4 linked regions of the Saccharomyces cerevisiae S288C genome follow. The gene in region 3 interacts genetically with the main gene of each other region. Each region holds a gene or a part of one and is shown on either strand. Other genes may lie near its edges.

Evidence for each region.
Region 1: mutations in DIA2 (region 3) and MAD2 together harm fitness more than expected from each alone (negative genetic interaction), as found in Saccharomyces cerevisiae (4 studies listed by BioGRID, with this or other methods).
Region 2: mutations in DIA2 (region 3) and SLX4 together harm fitness more than expected from each alone (negative genetic interaction), as found in Saccharomyces cerevisiae (7 studies listed by BioGRID, with this or other methods).
Region 4: mutations in DIA2 (region 3) and EAF7 impair growth when combined (synthetic growth defect), as found in Saccharomyces cerevisiae (4 studies listed by BioGRID, with this or other methods).

The regions. Positions count from the first base shown.
Region 1 is NC_001142.9:383,509-390,280, forward strand, and holds MAD2 (spindle checkpoint protein MAD2), read left to right. Parts: upstream 1-4,148; coding exon 4,149-4,739; downstream 4,740-6,772. Other genes in the region: RNA-dependent ATPase HCA4, read left to right, coding at 329-2,641; Rab geranylgeranyltransferase BET4, read right to left, coding at 2,860-3,840, 3,928-3,930; VPS53 (Vps53p), read right to left, coding at 4,877-6,772. UniProt on the Saccharomyces cerevisiae protein: Central component of the spindle assembly checkpoint which is a feedback control that prevents cells with incompletely assembled spindles from leaving mitosis. Thought to be recruited to unattached kinetochores by MAD1.
Region 2 is NC_001144.5:410,532-418,970, forward strand, and holds SLX4 (Slx4p), read left to right. Parts: upstream 1-2,749; coding exon 2,750-4,996; downstream 4,997-8,439. Other genes in the region: PDC5 (indolepyruvate decarboxylase 5), read left to right, coding at 192-1,883; TIS11 (Tis11p), read right to left, coding at 5,270-6,127; RKM5 (S-adenosylmethionine-dependent methyltransferase), read left to right, coding at 6,475-7,578; NHA1 (Nha1p), read left to right, coding at 7,906-8,439. UniProt on the Saccharomyces cerevisiae protein: Regulatory subunit that interacts with and increases the activity of different structure-specific endonucleases. Has several distinct roles in protecting genome stability by resolving diverse forms of deleterious DNA structures.
Region 3 is NC_001147.6:470,342-478,804, forward strand, and holds DIA2 (DNA-binding SCF ubiquitin ligase subunit DIA2), read left to right. Parts: upstream 1-4,252; coding exon 4,253-6,451; downstream 6,452-8,463. Other genes in the region: SKI7 (Ski7p), read right to left, coding at 1-1,279; RTS2 (Rts2p), read left to right, coding at 1,558-2,256; BUD21 (Bud21p), read left to right, coding at 2,384-3,028; Mn(2+) transporter ATX2, read right to left, coding at 3,134-4,075; TGL5 (triacylglycerol lipase), read right to left, coding at 6,598-8,463. UniProt on the Saccharomyces cerevisiae protein: F-box protein component of a SCF (SKP1-CUL1-F-box protein) E3 ubiquitin-protein ligase complex which mediates the ubiquitination and subsequent proteasomal degradation of target proteins. Probably recognizes and binds to phosphorylated target proteins.
Region 4 is NC_001146.8:368,373-375,995, forward strand, and holds EAF7 (Eaf7p), read left to right. Parts: upstream 1-1,995; coding exon 1,996-3,273; downstream 3,274-7,623. Other genes in the region: mitochondrial 37S ribosomal protein uS4m NAM9, read right to left, coding at 223-1,683; peptidylprolyl isomerase FPR1, read right to left, coding at 3,510-3,854; YNL134C (uncharacterized protein), read right to left, coding at 4,079-5,209; FYV6 (Fyv6p), read right to left, coding at 5,799-6,320; ribosome biosynthesis protein KRE33, read left to right, coding at 6,949-7,623. UniProt on the Saccharomyces cerevisiae protein: Component of the NuA4 histone acetyltransferase complex which is involved in transcriptional activation of selected genes principally by acetylation of nucleosomal histone H4 and H2A. The NuA4 complex is also involved in DNA repair.

The sequences.
Region 1 (6,772 bases), on a different chromosome or scaffold from region 3:
GAGATTATACTGAGTATATACGTAAATATATGCATTATATGTTATAAAATTAGAAAGATATAGAAATTTCATTGAAGAGTATAGAGACTGGGGTTAAGGTACTCAGTAACAGTGTCATCAATATGCTAATTTTGCGTATTACTTAGCTCTATTGCGCAAATGCAATTTTTTCTTACCCTGATAATGCTTTATTTCCCGTTCCGAAAATTTTTCACTGAAAAAAAAGTGCTTAAGCTCATCTCATCTCATCTCATCCCATCACTATTGAAATATTTTGCTAAAACATTATAACAGAGAGAGTTGAAAGGCTCGAGAACCTAATACTGAAATGGCCAAAAAAAATAGATTGAACACAACTCAAAGAAAGACTTTACGTCAAAAGGAAGATGAGTACATCGAAAACTTGAAAACCAAAATTGATGAGTATGACCCTAAGATAACCAAGGCCAAGTTTTTCAAAGATCTCCCCATTAGCGATCCCACATTAAAAGGTTTAAGAGAATCATCCTTTATAAAACTTACTGAGATCCAAGCCGATTCTATTCCCGTGTCCCTGCAAGGTCATGATGTATTGGCGGCCGCAAAGACAGGTTCCGGTAAGACATTAGCATTTTTAGTTCCAGTAATTGAAAAGCTATACCGCGAAAAATGGACCGAATTCGATGGGTTAGGTGCCCTTATCATATCTCCAACAAGAGAGTTGGCTATGCAAATATATGAGGTTTTGACGAAAATAGGTAGTCACACTTCATTTTCAGCTGGGTTAGTTATCGGTGGTAAAGATGTTAAATTCGAACTAGAAAGGATATCAAGGATTAACATTCTTATCGGTACACCTGGTCGTATTTTACAACATTTAGATCAAGCCGTAGGTCTAAATACTTCCAATTTGCAGATGCTTGTTCTTGACGAAGCTGATAGATGTTTAGACATGGGGTTTAAAAAAACTCTGGATGCCATCGTAAGCACATTGTCACCATCTAGACAAACACTTTTATTTTCAGCGACTCAATCACAATCTGTTGCAGACTTGGCTAGGCTTTCCTTGACAGATTATAAAACCGTTGGTACACATGATGTGATGGATGGGTCGGTTAACAAAGAAGCATCTACTCCAGAAACTTTGCAACAATTCTACATTGAAGTTCCTTTGGCAGATAAATTGGATATCCTTTTCAGTTTTATAAAATCACATTTAAAATGCAAAATGATCGTTTTCTTATCAAGTTCCAAACAAGTGCATTTTGTCTATGAGACATTTAGGAAGATGCAGCCTGGTATTTCTTTAATGCATTTACACGGTAGACAGAAACAACGTGCTAGGACAGAAACTTTGGACAAATTCAATCGTGCTCAACAGGTGTGTCTTTTTGCTACCGATGTCGTTGCTAGAGGTATTGACTTTCCTGCAGTCGATTGGGTTGTTCAAGTGGATTGTCCAGAGGACGTTGATACATATATCCACAGAGTCGGTAGATGTGCTCGTTACGGTAAAAAGGGTAAATCTTTAATCATGTTGACTCCACAAGAGCAGGAAGCGTTCCTAAAAAGACTTAACGCTAGAAAGATCGAACCAGGCAAACTTAATATAAAACAGTCAAAAAAGAAATCCATTAAACCACAATTGCAGTCATTATTATTCAAGGATCCAGAACTAAAATATCTAGGACAAAAGGCTTTTATATCGTACGTGAGATCTATATATGTGCAAAAGGACAAACAAGTTTTCAAATTCGATGAGTTACCAACAGAAGAATTCGCTTATTCTCTTGGTTTACCAGGGGCCCCAAAAATCAAAATGAAGGGTATGAAGACCATTGAGCAGGCCAAAGAAAGAAAGAATGCTCCAAGACAGCTAGCTTTCTTATCAAAAGCAAATGAAGATGGTGAAGTAATTGAAGATAAGTCGAAACAACCAAGAACAAAATATGATAAAATGTTTGAACGTAAAAATCAAACCATCTTAAGTGAACACTATTTGAATATAACGAAGGCTCAAGCACAAGAAGACGAGGATGACGATTTCATTTCTGTCAAGCGTAAAGATCATGAAATAAATGAAGCTGAGTTACCAGCTCTAACTCTTCCAACTTCAAGGCGAGCACAGAAGAAAGCGCTTTCAAAGAAGGCATCTCTGGCCTCCAAGGGTAACGCTAGCAAATTAATATTTGATGATGAAGGCGAAGCCCATCCAGTTTATGAACTTGAAGATGAAGAAGAATTTCATAAGAGAGGTGATGCGGAGGTACAAAAGACAGAATTTTTAACTAAAGAATCTGCAGTAATGGCAGACATTGACAATATTGATAAGCAGGTGGCTAAAGAAAAAAAACAAGAGAAGAAGAGAAAAAGACTAGAAGCCATGAGAAGGGAAATGGAGGCTGCTATGGAAGAAGAAATTTCTGGAGATGAAGAAGAAGGGAAGACAGTAGCATATTTAGGAACAGGAAACTTGAGCGATGATATGAGCGACGGTGATATGCCTGACTCGGAAGGCCACTTGAAAAAGAAAGCTAGAACTGTTGACTATTCCCACGGCCACAATCCATCCAATTCAGTTGATGATGACATTATTGAAGTGGAAGAACCACAAACTTTGGAGGATTTGGAATCTTTGACAGCTAAATTAATCCAGGGTTAAACCCTCCTGCATAGTCTAACCTATAGTATTTAGAACTTGTATACATCTATTCTCTACACTAATATACTTATTTCTTTGTTCAAATCATCGGTAATATTACAATAAAAGAAAAATATGCATATACTTTCGTGCATTGAAGGTGTCAAATGAAATCCCGCTTATAGTGAACAGGCTTCCATCATATATACATATATATATATGTTTATATATGTATATCATCACTTATGCTGCTCCAGGAGATGTAGGTATCTATTCTTTCTTAACGGATCCGCATCTATTAATTGGACCAAATATTGTTCCGAGCTTCTTTCCGTTAGAGCTTCCTTTTCTTCCAGAATATCTTCGAGAACTAATAAAATTTTCAAGCACCAAATATTTTGCTTCCCGGAAAATTCAATTTCGTCATTATTTATTAACAGAATGTTTTCTCTCAAGTCTTTCAACATTTTAAGGTACTCTTGTTCGTCCAGAGTTTTACAAACAATGTCGTTTTTAATGAACCACTTGATATAAAACCATACGGATTGGTCTTCGGCGTCGGTAAACATAGCGTTGATGATATAAGATATTTCAGTCCGAATATACTCCTTTTGATTCCCAACCTCTCCTTTCTGAAACATTCTGCTTATGATCTGTACTCTTTGGTGCCATGCAGAATAATTTGAAATGTTATTGTTAATCTTTATTGTTGTGTATTCAAACTCCTCCTTGTCAAGACTTTTATTAGTGATACTCTCTATGTTACCAACAACTATTCTGCGGTAATGCCATCCGTGGTAATTTCTTGCATCTTGTTCCAATAACTTATTCACGACAGCAAGTTCAGTTTGCCACACTTTAGGGGAACTCGTAGGATAATGTTTCAAGACCCAAAGTCTGTGATTCCATATCCAATAGACTTTGGGGTAATCCTTCAATAGCATCATTACAAAAACTAACTCTTTATCCCAGAAAGGTATTTCCAACTCAGAAGCCAAACTCGCTATAATATCCCTTCTGTAATTCCAAATAGCATTAAATTCCGGATTTTTCTCAAGAAGTTCTGATGTTTTCTTCAGAGCTTCAATTGAGTAAATTTTTTCATCTCTCATATTCAAAACATTTTCAGTCAAGCTTCTATAATCATATATTTTCTTTTCGTCTTGAACTCTCTTTTGTCTCAGTAATTCCTTGGTCCACTGTTTCCTTTTAATGCCATGCTGTTTAATGTGGCAAATATAAAAAATTGCTTGGTAGTCAGTAAAAAAAAGAATTCATAATGTAACGAACATTTGAAGTGCACATACCATTGCTGACCTACTGCTTTATAGTATAAATTCAGTATACTAGGTATATGTGGCTCAAAAATGTGGTTTTTTTCTTTTTTGCCTTTAATTTTTTTCAAATGTTTACGTATGGTTTATGATTTAACATTTCAAGAATAGAAATCGCCCCGAAGAATGATTGATGTTAAATACTCGTACAAGAGTATTGAAAACCACTTCAAAGGGGCCCAATAGCACATTTAATGTCACAATCAATATCACTAAAGGGTTCAACAAGGACAGTTACAGAATTTTTCGAGTACAGCATTAATTCCATTTTGTACCAAAGAGGCGTATACCCAGCAGAAGATTTCGTAACGGTGAAAAAGTACGATCTTACGTTACTAAAGACACATGATGATGAACTGAAAGATTACATTCGGAAAATTCTTCTACAAGTTCACAGGTGGCTTCTTGGTGGAAAATGCAATCAATTAGTATTATGTATTGTAGACAAGGATGAGGGAGAGGTGGTGGAAAGATGGTCCTTCAATGTGCAACACATTTCTGGCAATAGCAACGGGCAGGATGATGTTGTAGATTTAAATACAACACAATCACAAATCAGAGCTTTAATCAGGCAAATCACCTCAAGCGTTACCTTTCTGCCCGAACTAACAAAAGAAGGTGGGTACACATTCACAGTACTTGCATATACAGACGCGGATGCTAAAGTTCCGTTAGAATGGGCCGACTCCAATAGTAAAGAGATACCTGATGGTGAAGTAGTTCAATTCAAAACATTCTCTACCAACGATCATAAAGTTGGTGCGCAGGTCAGCTATAAATATTAATAGAATTCAAGTCAAAAAAAAAAAAAAAGACGGAAGTCCAAAAAAATCTCGTTTTCGATGTTTAGAAAGAATATAGATTTATGAACTATATTATACTATACTACGTACTTCCTCTGTAAACCACTTCATGCGTTTTTTCAAGTGCCTCTGTTAAAGAACCTTGAGTGAGAAACGAAGTCTTTGACACTCAAACTTTGCTTTTTTTGTTCTTCTTTTTGTTGTTGTATTTGAGGGGTGGATACTATCCTCTTCATAACAGGTGGTGATATTTTCAGATCTTGCCTCACAAATTTTGACCAATTCGGATCTTGCATCCTTGCCAAGTTGTTTTCAAATTGACCCAAAAGTACCTTGTCCCACTTGAATATGAAAAGATCGCGATTACTGTCTGGCCTGCTGCCCTCGTCAGTGTCGTCTGTTTCTAAGTTGTAGGCACTCCATAGCTTTTTCCATAATGCCAGGTCCCATGGAATGCCCTTTAAAGCGAGGACAAAAGACCATACCGCTGAATCAGGGTTATTATTGGTCAATTTGGAGTAGGTCTCGTAATAGTCATCAGCGGAATCCAGAGGAGCCATTAGAAGTTTAATAAACTTCAGCAGCTGGTCTATATTATTGTCTGCATGTCTTTTCACCCTCTTATAAGAGGTATTTTCTCGCAAGTCAGAATCGTTACTTACACTTTCTGGTAAAGTGTGAAAAATCTCCTTCAGCAATTCTAAATCAAGGAGAAGCTGCTCGCCAATGTTGACAACAGTTCTGGTTTCAAATTTCCTTTTGCTGCCCGCCAGGGAAAAGGGTGGAACGGGCTGCAGAAGGCGGATGGTATTGCTTACAAAATTTGTAGTGATGATATCAATCACCTTATCCAAGAAATTCCACTTATAAACATCTCTATTGAATTGCGACAAAATAAATGCCAAAGTCGAAGGTTGCTCTTGCTGTTGTTTAATAGAGGCATCTGTTAATGCGGGCATTTTAAGTACGGATTTGAGGGTTACCATGTACCTGCTATAATCTTCTATCGCAGCATTTGACCAATCATTGTTGATAAACTCTCTCCATACAAAATTTAGATCTAAGGGTATGACACGGTTTAATAGAAAAGAAGTTCCTTTTGCTAGTAAATCGTCGTATATATTTTTCGTTTTCGTAAAACTGTTTGCCAGCTTTTCACGATTACCGCTGAATTCAGATAATTTATCCTCCAATTGATCTATAGTCGTGGCACAATAATCTGCAGTATTGATCAATAAAACGGTATACTTGGCAGCTTCTAGCTTATCCTGGACTTCAATATTGTCGGGCAGCAGTAAAGGAAGAAGAATTTTTTGTGAGTAAGTTTGAAGCCATCTACTGAAAAAATTTGCCAATGAAGTCAATATGCTATCATTGGCATTATTATCAATGAGCTCTAAGGTCTGAGTCAGTACGGAACGATATGTCCTGAAAAGGTCTGCACTCGAGGGTAACACGAGAGATTCTGTTTCATTAGATGGGTACTTCGGCTCACTCATATAAGAAAGAAATTTCTTTTCCATCATTTGGTTTTGGTGAGACACCCATAAAGTCAAATAAGGTTCGAAGCAGGAACTTAGTTTTGGTTCCTTAATTTTTTTTGAAAATCGTACGTCGATGTATTTTTCGAAATCTAGCGTCGATTGTAATGCTGTCATGAATAGATCAATGGAAGGGTTCTTGTCTTTGAATTCCCTTTTCAGAAGTGTCTGAAGGTCCTTGTGTGTAATGTGATAAAAAGTGGTGGTCAATCTGACTGCCATTTCCCAGTCTTTTAAGAAATAGTCTGCGAACTTTGAATTGAAGTTATTAAGAATTTTTTTGAAGTAAATGTATCTTCTCGATAAATTTTCTAGGGATCCGGCTTCATCGTCGACCCTAAATATCTCTTTCATTTCGAAGAGAAGTTTGTCCAAACACCAATCTATCATCTGGGCTCTCGTACTTGTATCGCAGTCGAGTAGCTCGCAGGCACCTTCGCGCAATTCCATAGTGAGTGCTGTATCATGCTCTGA
Region 2 (8,439 bases), on a different chromosome or scaffold from region 3:
AATCTCTCGAAAGAAATTTCATATGATGAGACTTGAATAATGCAGCGGCGCTTGCTAAAAGAACTTGTATATAAGAGCTGCCATTCTCGATCAATATACTGTAGTAAGTCCTTTCCTCTCTTTCTTATTACACTTATTTCACATAATCAATCTCAAAGAGAACAACACAATACAATAACAAGAAGAACAAAATGTCTGAAATAACCTTAGGTAAATATTTATTTGAAAGATTGAGCCAAGTCAACTGTAACACCGTCTTCGGTTTGCCAGGTGACTTTAACTTGTCTCTTTTGGATAAGCTTTATGAAGTCAAAGGTATGAGATGGGCTGGTAACGCTAACGAATTGAACGCTGCCTATGCTGCTGATGGTTACGCTCGTATCAAGGGTATGTCCTGTATTATTACCACCTTCGGTGTTGGTGAATTGTCTGCTTTGAATGGTATTGCCGGTTCTTACGCTGAACATGTCGGTGTTTTGCACGTTGTTGGTGTTCCATCCATCTCTTCTCAAGCTAAGCAATTGTTGTTGCATCATACCTTGGGTAACGGTGACTTCACTGTTTTCCACAGAATGTCTGCCAACATTTCTGAAACCACTGCCATGATCACTGATATTGCTAACGCTCCAGCTGAAATTGACAGATGTATCAGAACCACCTACACTACCCAAAGACCAGTCTACTTGGGTTTGCCAGCTAACTTGGTTGACTTGAACGTCCCAGCCAAGTTATTGGAAACTCCAATTGACTTGTCTTTGAAGCCAAACGACGCTGAAGCTGAAGCTGAAGTTGTTAGAACTGTTGTTGAATTGATCAAGGATGCTAAGAACCCAGTTATCTTGGCTGATGCTTGTGCTTCTAGACATGATGTCAAGGCTGAAACTAAGAAGTTGATGGACTTGACTCAATTCCCAGTTTACGTCACCCCAATGGGTAAGGGTGCTATTGACGAACAACACCCAAGATACGGTGGTGTTTACGTTGGTACCTTGTCTAGACCAGAAGTTAAGAAGGCTGTAGAATCTGCTGATTTGATATTGTCTATCGGTGCTTTGTTGTCTGATTTCAATACCGGTTCTTTCTCTTACTCCTACAAGACCAAAAATATCGTTGAATTCCACTCTGACCACATCAAGATCAGAAACGCCACCTTCCCAGGTGTTCAAATGAAATTTGCCTTGCAAAAATTGTTGGATGCTATTCCAGAAGTCGTCAAGGACTACAAACCTGTTGCTGTCCCAGCTAGAGTTCCAATTACCAAGTCTACTCCAGCTAACACTCCAATGAAGCAAGAATGGATGTGGAACCATTTGGGTAACTTCTTGAGAGAAGGTGATATTGTTATTGCTGAAACCGGTACTTCCGCCTTCGGTATTAACCAAACTACTTTCCCAACAGATGTATACGCTATCGTCCAAGTCTTGTGGGGTTCCATTGGTTTCACAGTCGGCGCTCTATTGGGTGCTACTATGGCCGCTGAAGAACTTGATCCAAAGAAGAGAGTTATTTTATTCATTGGTGACGGTTCTCTACAATTGACTGTTCAAGAAATCTCTACCATGATTAGATGGGGTTTGAAGCCATACATTTTTGTCTTGAATAACAACGGTTACACCATTGAAAAATTGATTCACGGTCCTCATGCCGAATATAATGAAATTCAAGGTTGGGACCACTTGGCCTTATTGCCAACTTTTGGTGCTAGAAACTACGAAACCCACAGAGTTGCTACCACTGGTGAATGGGAAAAGTTGACTCAAGACAAGGACTTCCAAGACAACTCTAAGATTAGAATGATTGAAGTTATGTTGCCAGTCTTTGATGCTCCACAAAACTTGGTTAAACAAGCTCAATTGACTGCCGCTACTAACGCTAAACAATAAGCTAATTAACATAAAACTCATGATTCAACGTTTGTGTATTTTTTTACTTTTGAAGGTTATAGATGTTTAGGTAAATAATTGGCATAGATATAGTTTTAGTATAATAAATTTCTGATTTGGTTTAAAATATCAACTATTTTTTTTCACATATGTTCTTGTAATTACTTTTCTGTCCTGTCTTCCAGGTTAAAGATTAGCTTCTAATATTTTAGGTGGTTTATTATTTAATTTTATGCTGATTAATTTATTTACTTTCGTATTCGGTTTTGTACCTTTAGCTATGATCTTAGCTAATTGAAGAGGGTGGTGTGATCTTTAACCATACCTTATTATCTTTCAGCTGCTTACCATTTTCTTATATTGATTTTTAGCGAAAGATTTTTATTCACAAGCTTTTTTTATCCTTAATGCTCGAATACTACAACAAAACAAAAAACATTAAACAGTTTTTAATTTTGTGAACAAACTGAATTACAAGGCCTTACATCTTATTTAGAATATATTAAGAAACAGAGGCCAACATGCCTTCTTAATTATATTGATATGGACCTCTGTCCTTCCTAAAAACGGGTTTTTGTTCGATGAAAAATCACCAGTAGAGCACCATATATGAATTTACAATCATTGTAGGGAAAAGAAAACTTGTTCTGCTTCGCCAATTGATTTCATTTCTTTTTTTCCTTTGTTTTTGTTGTATACTATTAATATGCGTAGTTCTTTGTCACTTAGTGGTTTTTTGTTTAATTTATAACGCGAAAGCTGCATACTAAAAATATAGAGATGAATGGAACTCCGAACAAGCAAGAGAGATATTATCTATCTCTGTTCCATAATAATAACCAGTAGTTCAGTTGGGGAACTTAATAATGGAACTTCAGAGGGCACAACGGAATTTGAAGTTTTTACAAAACGAGGATTATGTGAACGTTACCGATCAAACTAACCTGAATGGAGAGAGCCAGAATGCTTACTCTTTAGGAATGGAAACTCAAGTACCGGAAATGCAGTTTTCCTTATCATCTGATGATGATTCAATAGGTACGCAAGTAAAAAGCGTAACTGCACAAAAATCGCCTATGACGCAAGAGACTACGAAAAACGATACAGAAAGAAATAAAGATGTTGATAAAAGTTGTAACCCAGTCAGCACTTCCCATCCCGATTTAGGCGGATCAAATATCGAGGAGAACATATTCATTAACACTCAAATTCAAAGCCGACTTGATGACGCAGAGGAAGAAACAAATCTTAAGTTAAAACTTGAAAAATTCAAGTATTCGTTCAAGAGTAGTAACGCAGATGATACCCACAGCAATGCAAATGTAACAGCTAAAAGAAGACCAGCAATAAGGAAGGCTAATTCGAAACTCAAAACAAAACCTAAAACTAAACGAGACCCTAAAATTATCAAAAATATAACTGATTTCAATATTAATAACTACGAACGTTCAAGGACTGCCAGCTTATTAAAGCAATTATCAGGTAAGCACAAGAAGGTTTTGGACATAATAAAGACGCAAAATGAAGGAAACAGTGATAAACCTCCCAGAGCAAGGAATAACAAGGGTGAAAAAGCTACTTTTGATACATATAGTGAACAGGAGTGGAAAGATATTATGAAACTTCTTCTACAAAAGTTTCCGCAAAGTGAGGAAACGGATTTGAATGAAGTCCAGAAATTTTTATATGGAAGCGAAAAAAGCTCGAATTCTCTAGACAATCAAGAATCCTCACAACAAAGACTTTGGACAGCATCACAATTACCACCCGAGCTTCCCGATGAGGCTATTCAACCAGAGCAGGAAGAAAGGATACGCGATACCCAAAGTGCAGTAAATTTCTTATCGTTGTCTCAAGTAATGGATGACAAAAGTGAAATTATGAAAGACGAAGAAAGCATAATTATTTCACGGGGAGATTCTACAAGCTCTCAAGAATATGGAAACGGGTTAGAGCCACAACAACCGGTAGGAAATGTTGTTGGTGAAGATATTGAACTGGCTGTGGGAACACGTATAAATGCATTTTCACTGACAGATTATAAAGCTTGCAAACCTATGTCTGTTGAGGTAAGTAGAAGATGCGAAAACAGTACGGATAATGATTATGACAATATTTCTATTGTCTCAGATACTACAGATGAGACATCCACATTGTTTCCACTAGACCAGTATCGGTATGTTTTCATTGAAAATGATGAAAGACCACCATTAGCCACCGACACGATAGGCAGCACACAGTTTTTCACTCCAAACACATCGCCTTTGGATGGGATAATCGATTTAACACAGGAATCATTCAAAGCTGTTCGATCGTTAATATCACCTTTGAAAGTAGAAAACAACAAAACAGGGGTAACATCACAAGCATCAAATCAGGTTCAGGTACCAGCTACAAGAACCCCTACAATTATTCCTCAAAAGAACCTTACTACAACTTTAAAAACTGAAGAAGAAAAGAATAACATAGGAAGTTCCATCAGAGTTAAATTATTGCAAGAAAGCGTAGTTAAGCTAAACCCCAAACTGGTGAAACATAACTTTTATAGAGTTGAGGCAAATGATTCTGAAGAAGAGGAGACAGAATTTGATGACCAATTCTGCATTGCTGATATCCAATTGGTAGATTCCTCCAAAATTTCGACTAAAGATTCTACACAAAATCCTACTACTAGCAACGACATTATTGATACCTCTGCAGCTAGTTCCATAGCTTCTCCCGAGAAATTTTGTGAGATCATGATGTCCCAATCAATGAAAGAGCTTCGACAAAGCTTGAAAACAGTGGGGTTGAAACCTATGAGGACGAAGGTTGAAATCATTCAATCCTTACAAACTGCATCTCAAATTCTGTCCACAGCTAATCCAGATAATAAAGGTGAGCATGGTGGGGTGGCAAATTTCAGTAAGATAGAAATATTTGATCATTTAACCGAACTAATTGAAGCCTTCCCTGATTTTTTGGAGCGAATATATACCTTTGAACCCATTCCGCTAAATGAGCTAATTGAAAAGCTGTTCAGCGCCGAGCCATTTGTTTCGCAAATCGACGAAATGACCATCAGAGAATGGGCCGATGTTCAAGGAATATGTCTGAGAAACGATAAAAAGTAGTGCCGAATGATTGAGAATTTGACAAAACAAAAACAAAACAAAACAAACGTTACGTATAGATGAAGAATACACGTACACAAATATGCATATATACCGTCATGAAGTAGCTTAACTTAAATAAAAGTTTTTTTTTTTTAGAGTTACCAATATCGCAAACATGAAAATGAGAATAAAAAAAAAAAAGCAGAAAAAAAAAAAGCATAACATGGAGAAAAAAATAATAAATAATTGAGTTTAGTTGAGACGCCGGTCTTCGCCAGGCCAGGAATTGTTTCACCAGGTCATTCTCTGCAAAGCCTTTACTTTAACATTTAGATTCTTCTTCTTGGCGGAGCCGCGACCATTGCTTCTCTTTTCGTCTGATTGTTTGCTAGTCGAAGAGACGTTACAGTAAGTACCAGCTTTCACGTAAACAGCAATGTCGTTGTCGTCGCCATGTTTGAAGCAGCATCTTCTGCCATAAGGACAATAACCTAGTTTCTCCCAATTCACACAGGGCTTCGTCCTGAAATTCTTGCACGATTTCTTAACCTTTAATTCGCCGAGTCCGTGAGCAAACTGACACTTACTGCCATAAGGGCAACTTCCTTTTAAAGTGAATGATTCGCACAGCTCTGTCTTGTATAATTGTTTGGGAGTTTCCTGCACTTGGCTTTTCACCTTAGGTTGAGCTGAGGATTCCTTCTCTGATGAAAAAGAAGCATCATTTTTGGGCTTTTGTTGAGACAACTGTTGCAAATTCTGTGAAGTTAATGGTAATTGTGAAGATTTTGGGACATAGTCCGGATTTATTTGTACCTCTAGTTTCTTTTTAAAAGTAGTAGGTGCCGTGCTATTCAGGTGAGCGGATGGGAGAAAAGGGTTCATTAACTGTGGATCATACAGTAGCCCCGGTTGAATAGCGTTTGTATTTTTTGGTGGAGAGAATGAAACTGCCGAAGATATTTCACTGCTTGTTTCCTGTATGTTATCCTCGTTTAAAATCGTCTTGTTGTAATACTCCTCCAGTTCCCTAATATTGATCTGGTACTGGTAGTCATTTAATGGATTTTGCTCTTGATCTGTGGAAAACAACGACGTTAAGTCAGTCTTCTGAGATTCTGGTCTAGTATATGATAATTGAGCCCACATATTGCGTTATTTTTTACGTATTGAGTTTGCAGCACTGTTTCGCTTTCTCTCAAGATGCACAAATACGACCTACCAAGAGCCTCCAAGTCCCACCAACGATTATGTCTTCTCTCAAATATATATACAAGTTACATGTAGAGAAATCGAGACGAGATTGCTGGCACAATGCACCCAACTGCATGTGCCATTGTGCATCTACACCTCCAAATTAGGGTGTCGATTGGCGTCGTCTTCTTTAATGTGGGTGCATTTTGCGGCGGCGCGACAAATATAGAGAACTGACCAAGGCAGTGCTGTCAAGAAGAGAGAATGGTTACGGCAGCGAAGACGCAAATGGGCTAGGCAGAATGGCATTCAAGTTATGGCTACTGGATGAGGAAACAATATACGAGCACGTGTTCGAACGGTACACACAATTGGAGGGCCAGTCCGGGAAACTGGCGCAGGATTTGGGTATTCAGGATAGAAGGGGCGGTGTGCTAGAGATAACGTTTGAACCCTCTGGGCTGGAAGGCGGCAGAAAAAAAAAGCGAGTGAGAAGAAGAAATAAGGCTAGTAGTGTTGAAGAAGATCAGAATGTTGCTGTGGATAGCTATCATGTTAGCGTGGGGCAGTCCATATCAAGCTTGCGCTCGTCCAGAGACAACGGAAACTCCACCACAGGATACGTTTTGTGGTCTACCACACCTTTCTTCATCAACTGGCTGCTGTATAGTACTAGCGCTGCACCTTTCCGTCTTGGGAGTCAGGTGGAAGTAACCTGCGGGTCTTCTTGCGAGGGGCACAAGCTTGAGTTGCCCAGGCTGGTCGACCTCACGGGCGCTGATCGCGGCAAGAGAGGTATCTTGGAACTTGGAGCAGGAATATCAGGTATTTTGCCCGTGATTCTTGGTAACTTCGTCGACACCTACGTGTCGACAGATCAGAAGGGCATTCTTAATAAATTAAAAGATAACATCATGGAAAACTTATCACAGTTGACCAGAAAGCGGTGCATTTCCCGATCACTAAGATTGGAACTTCCCACCGTCGAACCAGTTGGCGACGCTGATATCACCGCAGCGTCACTTCCATCTAAGTCTACGTTGCATTTGGAAGTAGCCGCTCTAGACTGGGAGAAGATAAACTTGCAAGACAAAAAGACCCACTCTCTGCATCCTGAGTTGTCACTCATAGGTGAAACATGTTCTTCCGTGTACGTTATAGCTATGGATGTCATATACAACGAGTACCTGATAGATCCGTTTCTGAAGACGCTCAAGCAACTCAAACACTGGTTACAAACTACCTACAATTTGCAATTCCATGTCCTCGTGGGGATACACTTGCGGTCACAAGAGGTGACAACACTGTTCTTGGAGAAAGCCATCATAGAATATGACTTCACGGTTTATGATATCGTTGACCAGGTCATACAAGAGTCCCGTTTTAACTTTTATCTTATCACCTAGTCCCATATATAATAATAGAAACAATATAATGCTGATAATCTTATTTTTCTTTGCGATGCGGCAGTGCCTCTTCCCCTCCGTACGGATTGGGAAGATTTTCATTTTTGATTAGCAAGGGCACTAAGCCAACTCTGTGTGATATAGCTAATAATCTAAAAGCTGCTGGATCCGTTATCGTCAAGATAAAGCGGACTTAGCGATTTACATAGGATCACACTTTCTACACACATTTGATTTTTAAGCTTCATTTTCCACTGCACTTATTTTTCCCAAGCATCGTGTTTTTTTGTACATTATAAAAAAAAATCCTGAACTTAGCTAGATATTATGGCTATCTGGGAGCAACTAGAAGTCTCAAAGGCGCACGTTGCTTATGCATGTGTTGGTGTCTTTTCATCTATCTTCTCTTTAGTGTCACTTTATGTCAAGGAGAAGCTTTATATTGGTGAGTCCACCGTAGCAGGTATATTTGGGCTAATTGTGGGTCCTGTTTGCTTGAACTGGTTTAATCCTCTGAAATGGGGGAATTCAGACAGTATAACATTAGAGATAACGAGAATAGTATTATGTTTGCAAATTTTTGCCGTTGCCGTGGAACTGCCACGGAAATATATGTTGAAGCATTGGGTATCTGTGACGATGCTATTATTGCCAGTGATGACAGCTGGATGGCTTATTATTGGTCTCTTCGTTTGGATTCTTATACCTGGCTTGAATTTTTCTGCTAGTTTGTTGATATCTGCGTGCATTACCGCAACAGATCCTATTCTGGCGCAGTCGGTCGTCTCCGGTAAGTTTGCCCAAAGAGTACCTGGTCACTTAAGAAATCTACTGTCTGCAGAGTCAGGCTGCAATGATGGT
Region 3 (8,463 bases):
TCAAAAGAATTATCAAGTGCTTTTTGCATGCGGAATTCTTGTTCAAATAAGAGATCACTTTTAAAATTTCATAAATCTGATTATTTGGACCATCTAATGATTTTTCCCACGAGTCATAATTGCAATCAATAACCAATACATAAACTTCAGGATCAAAGGTCAAAATTGAGTTCAGAGTTTCTTTATTGAAGTATTTGATACTACCAGGAGTGTCTATAAGCGTCAAGGTTGATGATGGCGGTAGTAAATCATTTTCTACCTGAATAACTTTCTTAAACATGGAAAATCCATTTTCTCTTTCTGTTTTGGTATTGTCTAGAATGACCTTAAAACTATTTGAAGATGAAGGATCCAAATTACTGCTTTTTTTTTGTAGTTCCCTCATTGATGACATAGAAATTTCGTTTAGATCATATAAAAGATGACCAAGCAAAGTGGATTTGCCTGCGTTTGTATCACCGAGGAACAAACATGTCAAATTCAGAGGATGGGTGGCAATGAATGAATGAATATCAATCGACTCAGTAGGTGGTGTTTGAAGGTTAATTGGTTCCTTTTTTTCGGCCTTGGGCACAGATTTGATATTTAAGTTTTCTAATTTTTCATTGAAAGCATTAAGTTGGGCCGATTGTATTATATCATCAGGACTTGGTCTATTGAAATTCTCAATGGCTACTTTACGAGTTGTTTTCGGCAGGTTACAAGGCACAAAAATACCAAGGAGCTCATTGTTATGCTTTTTTAAGGACAGAAATGATGAATTCTGCGACGATAGCGGTATTGATGTACTCAACGAGTTTTTTTTATCTTTTATGATAAAGTTTGTGAACGCAAAATCGTCGGTTTGATTTATGCATGGATCGTTTTTCAAGAAACAGTAATGGTTCATTTCTTTAATAGCCTTCCATGACTCTTCTAAGTTGAGTTTATCATCAGGCGATTTCCTTTTGGTAGGGAGTTCGTTTTCTTTGCTGTCTAATGTCACTGATTTTCCTTGTTTCTCCAAATCACTATTTGACTTCTTTAAGGCAGACAACTTTAAACTCAATGAAACACTATGCTGGTTCGGGGTAAAGTCGCTTCTTTTTACCTTGTCTTTTGCAAGTAGCGTCTTCAGATCCTTCCTTTTTGTCTCAGCATTGTTATCTTTAGTTTCTCTATTCTTATGTAGTCTTTCTAGTAAGGATGCACTTTTCGATGTACTATGAGACTGGTCCGCACTTAAAAGGCCTTTAGATTTTTCTATTCTTTTTCTTGCTAATTGCTCTAATAACGACATGTCAGGTGGTACTGTAAGTTTCGAAGACCACCTCCTCGTACGTGTATTGTAGAAGGGTCTCTAGGTTTATACCTCCAATCTGTTATAGTACATATTATAGTACACCAATGTAAATCTGGTCCGGGTTACACAACACTTTGTCCTGTACTTTGAAAACTGGAAAAACTCCGCTAGTTGAAATTAATATCAAATGGAAAAGTCAGTATCATCATTCTTTTCTTGACAAGTCCTAAAAAGAGCGAAAACACAGGGTTGTTTGATTGTAGAAAATCACAGCGATGGCAGATTATGATAGTGCGAAATATTGGTCCAAGCAGGGAGCTCGTCGTGGGTTACAGAAAACCCGTTACTACTGCCAAATATGCCAAAGGCAATGTAAAGATGCAAACGGATTTCAATCACATAACAAATCGCCATCTCATTTAAGGAAGATTAGTCAAGTGACAGCTGAGGACGCTAGGCGCTACAATATCCAGTTTGAAAAGGGATTTCTACAGTTATTGAAGCAGCGGCACGGAGAAAAATGGATTGATGCTAACAAAGTATACAACGAGTATGTTCAAGATCGCGATCATGTACATATGAATGCCACCATGCATCGTTCTTTGACGCAGTTTGTCCGGTACCTAGGCCGCGCGGGCAAGGTAGACGTGGATATGGATATTGATGATACATCTGAGAACGTTGAAGGTCCTTTGCTTATCAGGATCCATCCCTCATCTTTATCATCACCTTCTGAAGATGGAATGCTGCGAAGTCAACAAGAGGAGCAAGAAGTCATAGCCGCCGAGCTTTTGAAAAGACAACTCAATCGTGCTAAGCGACAAACTGAAAAGGTATATCAACCAGAGATGAAATCGGAAATTAGCGGGGATAGCACTCTGAAACGTGTTCAAGTCACCTTCCACGGGAATGGTCGGGTAAATAAAAAGAAAAAGAAGGTTCCTCCACGGAAAGATGGTATCAAGTTCCGTTGATTGAAAATTTTTCTTTTCAAGCGATGAGGTTAGCGAAGTTGTTCGAACAAGCCCAAATATGTTTAGAAGGCAGTACGAATTGATACCCTGAACTGTTACTACCCGTATACACGTATTAAGTAAGACAATGAGTAATGGACACGTCAAGTTTGATGCCGATGAAAGTCAAGCCAGCGCAAGTGCTGTCACGGATAGACAAGATGATGTGCTGGTAATATCAAAAAAGGACAAGGAAGTGCATTCAAGTAGTGATGAGGAAAGTGATGATGATGATGCTCCACAAGAAGAAGGGCTTCACTCTGGGAAAAGTGAGGTAGAATCACAGATCACTCAGAGGGAGGAGGCTATAAGGCTGGAACAATCACAATTGCGGTCCAAGAGAAGGAAGCAAAATGAATTATACGCCAAGCAAAAGAAATCAGTGAATGAGACAGAGGTCACTGATGAAGTAATTGCGGAGCTTCCTGAGGAATTGCTAAAAAATATAGATCAGAAGGACGAAGGTAGTACGCAGTACTCATCTTCAAGACATGTAACTTTCGATAAATTGGATGAGTCAGATGAAAATGAAGAGGCATTGGCTAAAGCTATAAAAACTAAGAAAAGGAAGACATTAAAAAATTTAAGGAAAGATTCGGTGAAAAGAGGAAAATTTAGAGTTCAATTGTTATCCACCACACAAGATTCTAAAACATTACCACCAAAGAAAGAATCATCCATCATACGTTCAAAAGACCGTTGGCTAAATAGAAAGGCTTTGAATAAAGGGTAATATATAGCATACAACATAATAAAATAATAGTACAATCACAAAATTAATCATAATGTTCATTTATCTATAATCAAACAATGAGAATATATACTGAAGTTTGGTAGGTTATTCTTCAGAGATGCAGTACGATATCACCAACGGTATGCAGACACCTATCAAAACATAAACGGATTCATCATGAGGTAAAACGACTTCCTGTTCAACGCTGAGATCGTGATCATGAGAATCTCCACCAACAAATGCTGTGAAAGACGCATATAGTAAACTGCCACCACTCATAAGCAGAAGATTTCCACTTATCCAATCCATCGTTGGCGAATGACTCAGATTCAAAAGGGATAACACTATGTATCCGATCGGAGTCGATGACGCAAACAAGAAAACGTTACAGATCACCTCCCATTTCATTAAGTTTTGTCTCGATACCATCAAACTAGTGAGGGAAAGAACGGCAGGAATTTTATGAATAACTATAGCAATTAACACCACTATGAGCAGTGAATCATTGTTCGTTGTCGTACCTAATGCAATTCCATCAGATAGTCCATGAATGAATAAGGCAAAGACAACATTGTTTTGTATTAAGTTCATCCATATTTGTCTTGGATGGTTTATTATATCTTTCCAGCTTTGAAATTTGACAGCATCATGCGTATAGACCGTTTGCTTTCTAGAAACCCATAGTGTAACCAACCTATCAAGAACATAAACACCTAGAAACCCAATTAATAAATTCACACCAACGTTTCCATCATGTTCGACACACGCTTTGATACCTTCCGGTATTACCAACATAAATGATGTACCTAACAACATTCCTATACCGAATTGTGATAGAACGGCAATCTTCACACGGTAACTACTAACATCGTCATTGATCGTTTGAGTATCTGCGTTCGTAGTAAAATCAGAAATTGAGTCAGCACCTTCTTGGTTTGTGACAATGGAACTTTTTTGTTTATCAATATAATACAATGGGATAAGCCCTATGAGGAAGGTAGCAATCAAAAGAAAACTTGCTAGCAGTATTACACCCAAAAACTTCATTATTATCGGTCTTGGTAACACTAGCTTTAAACCGCGCTTATTTGAGAAGTTTTTATGCAGCTAAACTGTTTCTCGTCATTTTTTTATAGTTATTTCTCGAAAAATATTATAAATAGACATGCAAAATGATTAGCCATGTCGTATAAATTTATTACCAAGAACAAAAAATACACCCCGATGTCTTCCCCAGGGAATTCAGGCGTGGCTATAGATTCTACCGTTCTGAAAGCAATTGAATTAGGAACGAGGCTTTTTAAATCTGGAGAATATTTGCAAGCGAAAAGGATATTCACAAATGCTTTGAGAGTATGTGATTCTTATTCTCAGGAGCAGATTATGCGCATTAGGAACGCGTATCAATTAGATACTGCGAGACCGGATAACAAACGATTATATCATCCTAGATACATAAAGATATTGGATAACATCTGTGCGTGCTACGAAAAATTGAATGATTTGAAATCTTGTTTGGACGTATCACAAAGGTTACTTAAGTTAGAACCAGGTAATATCAAATGCTATATACGATGTACAAGGACGTTGATAAAATTAAAAGACTGGAAAAGGGCATATAAAACATGTTCTCGTGGACTGCAATTATGCAATAACGATAGCAATCATCTAAGACAACAAAAACAATTCATTAAAAATAACATGGTTCAAAAACAGGACGGCAAGAGAAGTTATATAGATCCATTAGAGGAGACCAAAATAGCAAAAAAAAAAAAGAATAATAATGTTCTAGAATCGTTACCAAAGAAGAAGATTAAAGGTAGTACCAAGAAAACTGATTTAGTTGGCAATTTGCCGATAGAAATACTACCTATCATATTCCAAAGGTTTACCACTAAGGAGCTTGTTACGTTGTCGCTAGTTTGTAACAAATGGAGGGACAAAATTTTGTATCATTTAGACTGCTTCCAAGAATTCAACTTGGCACCAATAAATTTTAAAAATTTTGTAAAGTTTATGGATTTTTTACAACAGAATTTCACCAGGACGTATAGAAAATATATTCTTTCACAAGTAAAAGTCAGTTCTAGAATCACTTCGGAAGAGTTACGAATAACTCAATTATTATTCAGTAAAATGCCGAAATGTATAAACATCGAACGGCTTATACTGTCAATGCCAACACTAACTACAACACAAATCTTTAAGTTAATGGTTAGAGGAGGCACAGATTTTTTTACAAGGCTGCTGGAATTATCTCTCATGATAACTTATAGGCCTGATAAACAACATGAATTGGAGATACTGCAGACTTGTCCTCTGTTGAAAAAAATAGAATTAATTTTTGTCAATTCACTGGTACCAATTTTCGACGGAAATAATAGCGTTGGGAGGGATGGAAGTTTCAATGTGATGGCCCGTCATACTAATATGCAGATATCCACTGCGGATAATGATGAACAGGGAATAGTAGAAGAAAAGGTGATTTATAGTGAGCTAGAGAAGATAACATTGATATGTGATAAGAAGAAAATTAAGAATTTTCCACTTTGTCGTGCTCTATTAAGAGGCCAGTTTCCTCTATTGCAGAAACTGACGATAACTGGTGTAACATTTCCTATGAATAATCAAGACATAATGAATTTTCAATGGCTATTGAACTTCCCAGACCTAAAAGAACTATGGATAGAAGATAACGACAACTGTGAACTCAGTAAGTTTTTGCAATTGTTAAAATTTTCGAATGTCTGGAAAAACTTGGAAAAGTTAACCTTTAGAGAGAACAAGCTATATCCAATTGTTAATTTGGATGAAGATCAGCCTGTTACGAATGACGACGAGGTGCCATCCATGCTATTTTACAAGGAAAATCTCCAAAACCTGGAAAAGTTGGATCTAATGGGGACATCGATAAGTGGTTCTGCGTTGACTAGATTATGCGAGCAGGAATACTTGGATGGTCGGAAATTAAGAAGTTTAAACATTGGGAATTGCCCCAACATCCAGTTCCCAAATAATCACGCTCATACAGCAAGGATGATACTGGATGTGAATGCAGTTTTGAAGAGACTCTCCAAGTTGGAAGAAATAAATTTATCGCATCTCAGCTCCTTGAATGATAGTACGATGAAGTCATTCATTATTAATGTACCATTTTTGGAAAATTTAAAGAGGCTTGACATTTCGCACAATTTTGAAATTACAGGAATATCAATATATGAATTTCTAAAAAAATTTCAGATGGATCATGACAACGAAGCGGGAGGTCAACCACTGGCATATTTAAATATTGACGGATGTTCCCAAGTGTCTCATATCACAGTTAATATGATCCGAGCGCAGAACTTAGTTACTCAAGTGGATTGTGTTTATGAAAGAGATGTATGGAGAAAATTTGGAATTAATTCATATTCATACTCATAGATTAATAAATCACTGATGATAATGCAGTATCCTTCGGAAAATTCTTAGAATATTTAATATAACAAAATGGCATGTACCTTTTGGAGTTGATGGAGGTGAGAATATAGAAAGCTTTTTATATAAAAATGTACTTATTGTCTTTCATTTCAATTTTGAAAAATGTCTGAATTGTTCATGAAATTGTCGTTTGTGGCAGCCGACATAGCGTCCATGGGGAACCTGCTTGGATTGAATAAAGTGTTATCAAATGAACCGTTTTCAATAGCCGGTATGGGAAAATCTTCTGAGTTTGTTTGAACATCATAAGAGGAAATTGTTCCAGATTTTTTTCTATTTTTCCTCATCTCTGCCGACATATTTTGATTATAATAAGAAGATCTTTTTTTGAATTGAGGTCGTGATGGAACCTTCAATGGTGATTTCTTTAGCCGTAAACTAGATGCACCGATGGCAAACGATAAAGAATTTGCCTTCTGCCTTGTACCCTGCTGCGTGAATGAAGATTTTGAACGTTGTGGAGATGTAGAAGGCGATGGAGAAGGCGATAACATATCCATTTTCCTCTTGTTGAAGGTAGAAGATGGAGAAGGCAATGGCTGAAGAGGAAATCTTCCCGGTGCCGCTGTTTTGTTGGGAGACTTGATAATTGATAGTGAATTGGAGGAGGATTCTTCCAAGTCAACTCCCGGCAAGTCAGCATCCATTATGGAAAGAGATTTGATTTGCTCACTGAATCGAGGTTGGTAGAATTGTAAAGGGTTTTTTATTGACGAAGAGATTATTATTTTCTCCTTTAGGAATGTGATGGCCTTATCCAAGGCGAATTCTTGGCCACAGTTATTTTGAATCATGGAAATTTTCGGCCAAGTAGCTCTTGCACCTAAAGTAGTTTGGTGCAATAGGAAAAGTTGAGATGGGTTCTTCAATACTTCGTGGAATTGACCAACCATTGATAGATCGGGTAAAATTGTGACATTGCCAGAGTATTGTTGTAAAAAAAGGTGTTTCAATTTGGTCATCAAATAGGGATGGAACTCAAGCTCCTTTAGGATGTCTAAAAAATGAATAGTTTCGTCGGAAAAAAATTTGAAGATCTTTGTTACTTGGTTTCTGAAACGGGCGGTAATTTCCTTTTCAATTTCACCCCCAACGCAAGTGTTTGAAAACTTTAACAGGGGAAAGACATGTATATTTACCTGGCAGGCGATAATGTGGTCGACATTGAACATTTCAGAAAGACGAGAAATGGGCATGTCATTATCTACAGATCCGTCCATGAATTTCATGTTTGATAAATGTAAATTTGTTGCCCCCCACTCTTTAATCTTTCCAGTGTGAGGATCTTTCTCGAATAGCGGCGTGGAGGGGAAAACTCCAGGTAGAGAACAAGATGCGCATACGGCAGACCAGATGAGAACGTTTGGAGCGGTTAAATTGTTTAGTAGTTTCGGCTGTTCGTATATGGAAGCAGGCGAGACTGTGATATTCAGGATTTTTCCAGTCTTGTTGTAGGCTTCCCTAAAGGTCAAGTTTCCTAAAAACGAAAGCATTGTGTTAATCAAAGGTTGATTATTGAACCAGGTACCGTTTTGGCAGAACCTCGATATCTTGATTAGTAAGTTTTCGTTGGGAGATTTGGAATTGTCGTCATTGAAGATGTTAAACTCCATATTAAGTACATTGGTCAACAAGGAGGGAATTTCCTGGGTCGTGTGGACGCAAAATATGCTGGCAACAATGGCGCCAGCACTGCTACCGCTGATCACCTTAGGCATCAGGTCCGATTCAAAAAGGGCGGCAAGAACACCAATGTGGAAAAGGCCGAAAGTGCTCCCACCGCTAAGCACGAGAGCCGTGCGCCCTATGTTTCTTCTCGTCTGTTGCAAAATACCGAGGAGATAGTGATCGTTCATATTTGACTGATGGATCAGCGCGGTGAGCACTGCTTGAGACTCTTCTAGGTAGTCATGTATAATTTGTTTTGTGCCGGTATGCGAGTGCCTGTAAAGATT
Region 4 (7,623 bases), on a different chromosome or scaffold from region 3:
AATCAATCAGAAAGAAAAGTGAATGAATAAACAATTATATACTTTTTGTAAAACCTTTTTTTCATGTGTAACCTTTTCTTAAAGAAGTAACAGGAAAACGAGGAGCGACTAAGTGACTACTTGATCGTTCGAGTAGAACTTAAAAACAAAAAAAATTAAATATTTACAGTGTAAAGAGAGGCTGAAGATCAGTCAAAAGACGCGTGCAACAATACACGACGATCATTTACCATTTCTCAAGTAATACATATATGCACGTTCATGAACAGGAACATCAAATGGTGAAATTACTTCGGATTGGCCTGGTCGAGCGACGGGATCCCTTAGGTATACAGCGTGGCATGTCTTGAAAGATATTTCCAAATGATGAGGTAAAATGGCGAAAGGCGATAAAAATGGTCTTGGCTTCCATGGTGTGAAAAAGGGTTTTTTAGGATCTTGCCTACCATAAACATAATTTTTCTGCCACGGCAAGTTTATCAATTTACGTGCTTTTGGTTCATCACCTTCCAATTCAGATAATTTAATCGGATCATGATATTTTAAATTTTTGGCCCATTTGGGGTCGAACGTTAGTGAACCATCAGAAATATCACTCATCCTAGTTTTGAAGTGGTCTGTTATATTTTTCGTCCATAGTTTCACGCTTTCCGCTATGATTCTTTTTCCAGATCTTAAAGCGGATTTGGCTCCATCAGATAATTCTTTTTTTGTGGTTTCGTTAGGATTCATCATTTCTGTAGCCAGTGAAATCAACTCGTCAGGCTGACATTTAGAAATGATTTCTCTTCTAATTTCACCGGATTTGAAAAACTCTTGATAAGCGTTATTTAGACTTTCTAACAACTGAGAGTCCTGGATCTCAGGGAGACCCTGTTTGAGTTCATCTATCGACAAGGGCTCATTATTCGACTTACCTATTTCCTTCTCTACATTTAAAAGCTTTCTCAAGATACCTTCCTGTGTGCATCCCTTTAATGCGTTATATTGCTGTGACTCCAGATTCTTATTATATTGCCTCAAAAATTCTTGAAACTGAAGTTTCTTTGGGTTAGAATCCGACATCTTTTCAAAATTTTCCAACTTCTTCTCCCAAACTTCCTTTGGCTCCGTTTTCGCTTCCTTAACATACTTGTTCCATAAAACTATTTGAGTCTTATCGATCTTTAGCGCTTCTTGGAAACTTGGTTTCTTGGCACCGAGAGCTTCCAGCACTTTGTCCGGTTTGACACTGAACATATCTCCAGGCTTTAAAGTATAGCTTGGATGCTTAATTTTTACACCATTAACGCGAACATTTCCATGCAAGATGAACTGACGAGCTTGTCTTACTGACGAAGCAAACATAGCCCTGAAAAGGGCAAAATCAAGCCTTTTTTCTAATACTGCAAAAGTTTGTAATAAAAATGGTGTTTCCTTGATTTCACCTCCACGCAGTGAAGCATCCAATTGTGCTACTGAATCCAATTTGGGTTTGAAAACGGTTTGCCATCTCTTTTCTGTCAAATGTTCACCATGATAAGCTCGGGTTTCCTGCTTTGCCGTCCACTTCTGTTGATACAAAGATTTAGACTTCAAGTCTACACCACCCTTTTTGTACAAATTAAACAAATTATACTTATTGAAAGAAGTGCGTACTCGTCCTCTTGCCAAAGATTTTAGCAAATTAGCCTTTCTTGGCATTATCTCTGTATTTTAATTGTAACCAGTCTTCCGTACCAAAAAAGTATAAAGGAGCTCCTACTCGATATATATTCGAATTAGTTGCACTTCCTCTGGGGAAACCTTCACCTTTTTGACCGTTCGCTCTCTCTTTTTGTATATCTTCAGCATAGTTCCTTAACTAATACTGCGAAGCGAAACGTATCCGGCTGCCACCATGAAAAGTAAAATCGTGCTTAACGAAGAAATCAATCATATAATCTATGAAGATGGATTGGCGGAGTTTATTAGAAGTTGCTAGCTGCTAGTGAAGAAAAGGGAATCGTGGATGTGATGGTAGTACATTGGACAATTGTGGATGAAATACGACTTCTTAGATGGGCATCTGAATTCAAACCGGCCGGAATTCATAAGCATTTCCACATGTTTTGCATAGTGGAAAGAATGAATTCGCCAGATAAGTATCCAGTGACGCTATTACAGAAAGAAACCATGAAGTTGGGGAAGGTATTTACTGCAAAAGACATATGGGATAAGTTGAGCCAATCTTACAATTTAGAGAAAATTGATGAAATGGAGAATACATATTCCTTGGAAGCCACTACAGAGAGTTCACGGAATGGCAATGGAAATGGTGACGATGCAGAAATTCATGAAGAAACTTTACTTGAATTGAATAATCGAATAAGAGTACGCAAGCAAGATTTTACATTACCTTGGGAGGAATACGGTGAGTTGATCTTAGAAAATGCAAGAAAAAGTCCAAACTCTAACGAAGAGTATCCTCGAGTTGAAGATATGAATGAGAAAGATAGTACAATTCCAAAGGAAAGTCCTTCTACAGACCTAAAGAACGACAACAATAAACAGGAAAAAAATGCGACAATTAAAGTGAAAGAGTTGCCTGAATATCATACAGAGGAAAATGATAGCCCCATAGACGTCCAGAAAGAACCCATTAAGGAGGTGCAAAGCGATGAAAAGGAACTCCAGAGGGAACATATGAGTGAAGAAGAACAGAAAATGAAAAGTACAAATAAAACAGCAGCTCCAGTAAGAAAATCTCAAAGGTTGAAAAGAAGTAAGGAAGTTAAATTTGAAGATGAAGAAAAGGAAGAGATAGAAGAAGATAATACGAAAGACGAAGAACAGAAAGAAAAGAAAGAGGAGATCCAGGAGCCAAAAATAACCCACAATGAAGAAGTAGATAAGGAAAAAAACGAAAACGAAGAAGGTGATGATGAGCGTGAAAAATCCACCTCTTATGAAAATACCAATGGCTCTGAAAGCGAAGGAGTTGACGAAGGAGTTGACGAAGAACTGGGATACGAGTCTGAACGTGAGGCAGAAGGTAAAGGAAAACAAATTGAATCAGAAGGGGGCAACTTAAAGAAAAAAACGGAAAACAAAAAAGGAGATGATCAACAGGATGATACCAAAAAGGATTCTAAGGACAAAAATGAACCATTAGCAAAGAGAACTAGGCATTCATCATCCACAGGTAATACTAGCAATGAAACCTCGCCGAAAAGGAAAAGGCGGAAGGCAGGCTCTCGTAAAAATAGCCCTCCTGCCACAAGAGTTTCCAGCAGGCTACGAAATAAAAAATAATCACTGCTCATATATAGATCGCGATAATAAACGCTCATCCGTTCCATAGAGGTATCTGTATTTAATGTAGTGTAGCAGATATAGAATAAAATAACCTTAATGAAGAAATAGAATATACGTATGCTTCTCCTTGTCTAATCTTTTGTAATTATATATCTATTTCAATTAAGGCTCAGATACTTACCATAAACATAAATAAAAAGCAGAAAGGCGGCTCAATTGATAGTACTTTGCTTTTAGTTGACCTTCAACAATTCGACGTCGAAAACCAAAGTACTGTTTGGTGGAATCAAACCTGGGAAACCACGTGGGCCATAAGCATATGGGCCAGGGATGGTTAACCTAGCTTTTTCACCAACAGACAACTTTGGAATACCAACATCCCAACCCTTGATGACTTGGCCGACACCGATGTTACATTGGAATGGAGAGCCCCTGTCAACGGAGGAATCGAATTTTTGGCCGTTCTCCAAGGTACCGGTGTAATGAATGGTAACCAAGTCACCTGTCTTTGGGAAGGTGGCACCATCACCTGGGGAAATTCTGTCAATTTTGACGTTACCTTCAATTACTTCAGACATTATTACTTGTTTTGATTGATTTTTTGCTTATACTCGAGTTTAGGTGAAAGGCCTTACTTTAAGCTTTCACGAGTTTATCCACCAAATTCTTTCAACGACGTCTCTCTTCCGGCAATTTTTTTTGCCCGAAAAAGACTAAGGCGGGTGAGGGGAATTGAACGGCACTATAATGTGGAGGTAAACAGAATGATCAAGCGCTATATACATAAGTAGCTATAGATTATTTATTTCAAGACGGCAACCAACTTTTCGCCAGAATTCCTCCCGTGCTTAATATCATCAAGTAACTGTGGGATATCATCTAACCCGTTCTTGTAAACTTTCACTGGGATGTGGTGGATTTCACCATCATTGATTTTTGGATTGATGAACTTAATAAATTTTATGGCGGCTTCCTTGTATTCAGGGTCTGCTGGCAAAGTAAACGTGCCAAATGGGACGTCGTTACCTCCTATCAAATATAGAAGGGTTCCTTCAATACTGACGTTTTGCCTCCTGTCTTCCTCCTTGATATCTTTTTCGGTTAAAACGGTCAATTGAACGACCGTAGCGTCTAAGTCATCAGCGGCACATTTGTACACCTGTTGAATAGTTTCTGTGTTGGAGACACAGTCCACCAAGTAAGGAATGTTGTTGTACTTCTTTTTTATCTGTTCGATAACGTCAGCATCGTGGTAGTCAAAAAGTTCATCTGCACCGTACTCTTTCAACAATTTTTCATGTTTACGAGAAGCAACGACGATGATCTTGCTGAAACCGTTTAGTTTTTTTGCCAATTGAATAAGCATCTGGCCAACAGCAGTGGCACCACCCCAAAATAAGATGGGTTGATCTCTTTGCGCTTTGGAGGGCTTCCATGTCATGTCCAAGCCAAAACTATGTGTAAGGATCATACCAGCCGTGGTCAATGAGACTGGGAGGGATACTGCCCCTTCTAAAGATTTTACGGGGCCTTCTGGTAGCTTGTCTTTACCGCACAATCTAAACTCTCTGGCTGGTTTATAAGCAGTCTCGGATGAAATGGCAGAGTACTCAGCAAAGGCACCGTTTGAGGGGAACCTCACTGAAGCACCGTGAATAACCCCATAAATGTAATCACCAATGGCAAAGCGTGCAGCATCAACATTTGGGCCCAACTTTACGATTTGGCCGGCTGCATCACAGCCTAAGAGGGCACCTTGAGGACCAATCTTGAAATCAATATGTTTCCAATCGGTAGGGTTACCGGCAACGGCGACAGTCTTAATTAGAACAAATCCTTCTTCTAATTCAGGAATTGGAATGTCCTGTTTGACTACAGCCTTGCCATTTTCAATGACAACGGCTTTCATGGTTTCTGGAATCGAGGCGGACATGCTTGATATGCAGTATGATATTGCTTTTTGCTGTGTATAGTTAACGATTTTTTTTCAACTAGAATTACAGTACTAATCAAGAAGTGAGAGGAAGAAAACGGCAAAAAAAAAACTCTCTCCTTTTAAATCGAAGCATTGCCGAAATACCTTAAAAACGGTCTTAAATCCTTAACATCTGTCCTTACTAATCGATGCCAATCCAACGGAGGGAGCCCATATGCTAGGTACTAAGAGTACGCAGGGGCGGAACCGCGCGACAACCGTAAGCGGATCCGAGGAACTTTAGTCAGCAGGGGCTGTGATGACCATTAAAAAATTGCGGACACAGGTAGTGGAACGAGCAATCAATGTGATCAATTTGCCATTTCATTCCACGAAATGGTTTCCATTCTAAGCATGAATGCTTTGACGTTACGGGTGTTGGTTATTTCGGTTCTTTTTATTGCTTCCGTGGGCACGTACGAGAAGGGAAGATGAATAGAAAAAGAGTTTCCGAGTTTTGTATGTCCAATGTTTACATAATTTATATAACTTGAAGTTTAATCTTGGCATAAAGCTCTAGTTGTGACGAAGTGTGTAGGCCATCACATCAGTTCTCCAGTTTTCTACCCAATTTTTTTATGGATACCTTGATTTTTGGTTTAGGGCTGGATGTCTTTACGCCCTTTATTTGTGTTTTACTGCCCAAACTAGTGCCGGTCTCTAAATATTTTTCTGTATTAGTAGTAGAATCGTTCTCCATTAGTAATGCTTTTTTTTTCTTTTCAAAATTGATTGCCTTGACGTCTAAGTAGTTATTCAGTTCTTTTTCCTTTTTTAGCAACTCATTCTTGCTCTTCTGGTAAAATTCCAGGTCCTCTTTACTCAACCTAGTAAAACTTTCACGGTCTCTCACCAAACCGTTATATTGTTTTTGTTTACTAATAGCATTAGACCTAAGCTGATCTCGCAGGGACTTCCTGGTTTTCCTTTTATATTCCGCTTCATATTTTTTTTGCTCCACTTGCTCTCGTATCCTCTGGGCCTCTACATTACCAACTCCTTCTGACACGAATTTCAGTGGTTTTTTCTCTCTTGCACTATTAGCATTATTATCACTGGTAGATGACATGATGATATAACAGAGCCCACAGTCTTTTGTTGGAACCGCTTTCTCTAGGCTTCGATGGACTTACATCTAATTGCACATTCTCGTGCGTTTAAACGTCATTTTTCCCTCAGATTGGCAGTGCATCAAAAGTAATTCCTAGGGACGACAAAAAGGCGGAAAAGGTTTCAGAAAAATAAGCGGACTTAGCTCAGTTGGGAGAGCGCCAGACTGAAGAAAAACTTCGGTCAAGTCATCTGGAGGTCCTGTGTTCGATCCACAGAGTTCGCAATTTGAAAAATTTTTTTTAATGATTACGCATGTGGATGTGTTCAGTATCAACCGATGCTCGCTTTTCCAATCAAATGATACAAGCCAGACCGAACATTGCATGTTTTCCATTGTAACTTCCCAGGTATATCTGAATTAGTTGTAAAAAGTAATAGTTTACCCGGAATCGTGTGAAAAATTTTGAAAAAAAAAAATGAAGAGCCAAGATACAATGAGATGAGATGAGGTGCTGAAGATGCATGGAGATTCTGTATTTATCTCAAATAAAGTACGCAATAGAGTATATAAGCCAAGTCACCTTTTATATTTCTTAGTTTTTAACTTGCAAAGACTTATAAGAGACTTATAAAACAAGGAGAAAATGGCCAAAAAAGCTATCGATTCAAGAATCCCGTCACTGATCAGGAATGGTGTTCAAACCAAACAAAGGTCCATATTTGTCATCGTTGGGGACAGGGCACGTAACCAGCTCCCAAATTTACATTATTTGATGATGAGTGCTGACCTTAAGATGAACAAGTCCGTCTTATGGGCTTATAAGAAGAAGCTTCTAGGATTCACTTCGCACAGAAAAAAAAGAGAGAATAAAATTAAGAAAGAAATTAAAAGAGGTACAAGGGAAGTGAATGAAATGGACCCTTTTGAATCTTTTATCTCTAACCAAAATATCAGATATGTATACTACAAAGAGAGTGAGAAAATATTGGGTAATACCTATGGTATGTGTATTCTTCAGGACTTCGAGGCATTAACCCCAAATCTTTTAGCAAGAACCATTGAAACTGTAGAAGGTGGTGGTATTGTGGTTATTTTATTGAAATCAATGTCATCGTTAAAGCAACTGTACACCATGACTATGGATGTTCACGCCCGTTATCGTACTGAGGCTCATGGTGACGTTGTTGCAAGATTTAACGAAAGATTCATACTTTCTTTAGGTTCAAATCCAAACTGTTTAGTCGTTGATGATGAATTAAATGTTCTACCGCTATCTGGTGCCAAAAACGTGAAACCACTACCTCCTAAGGAAGATGAC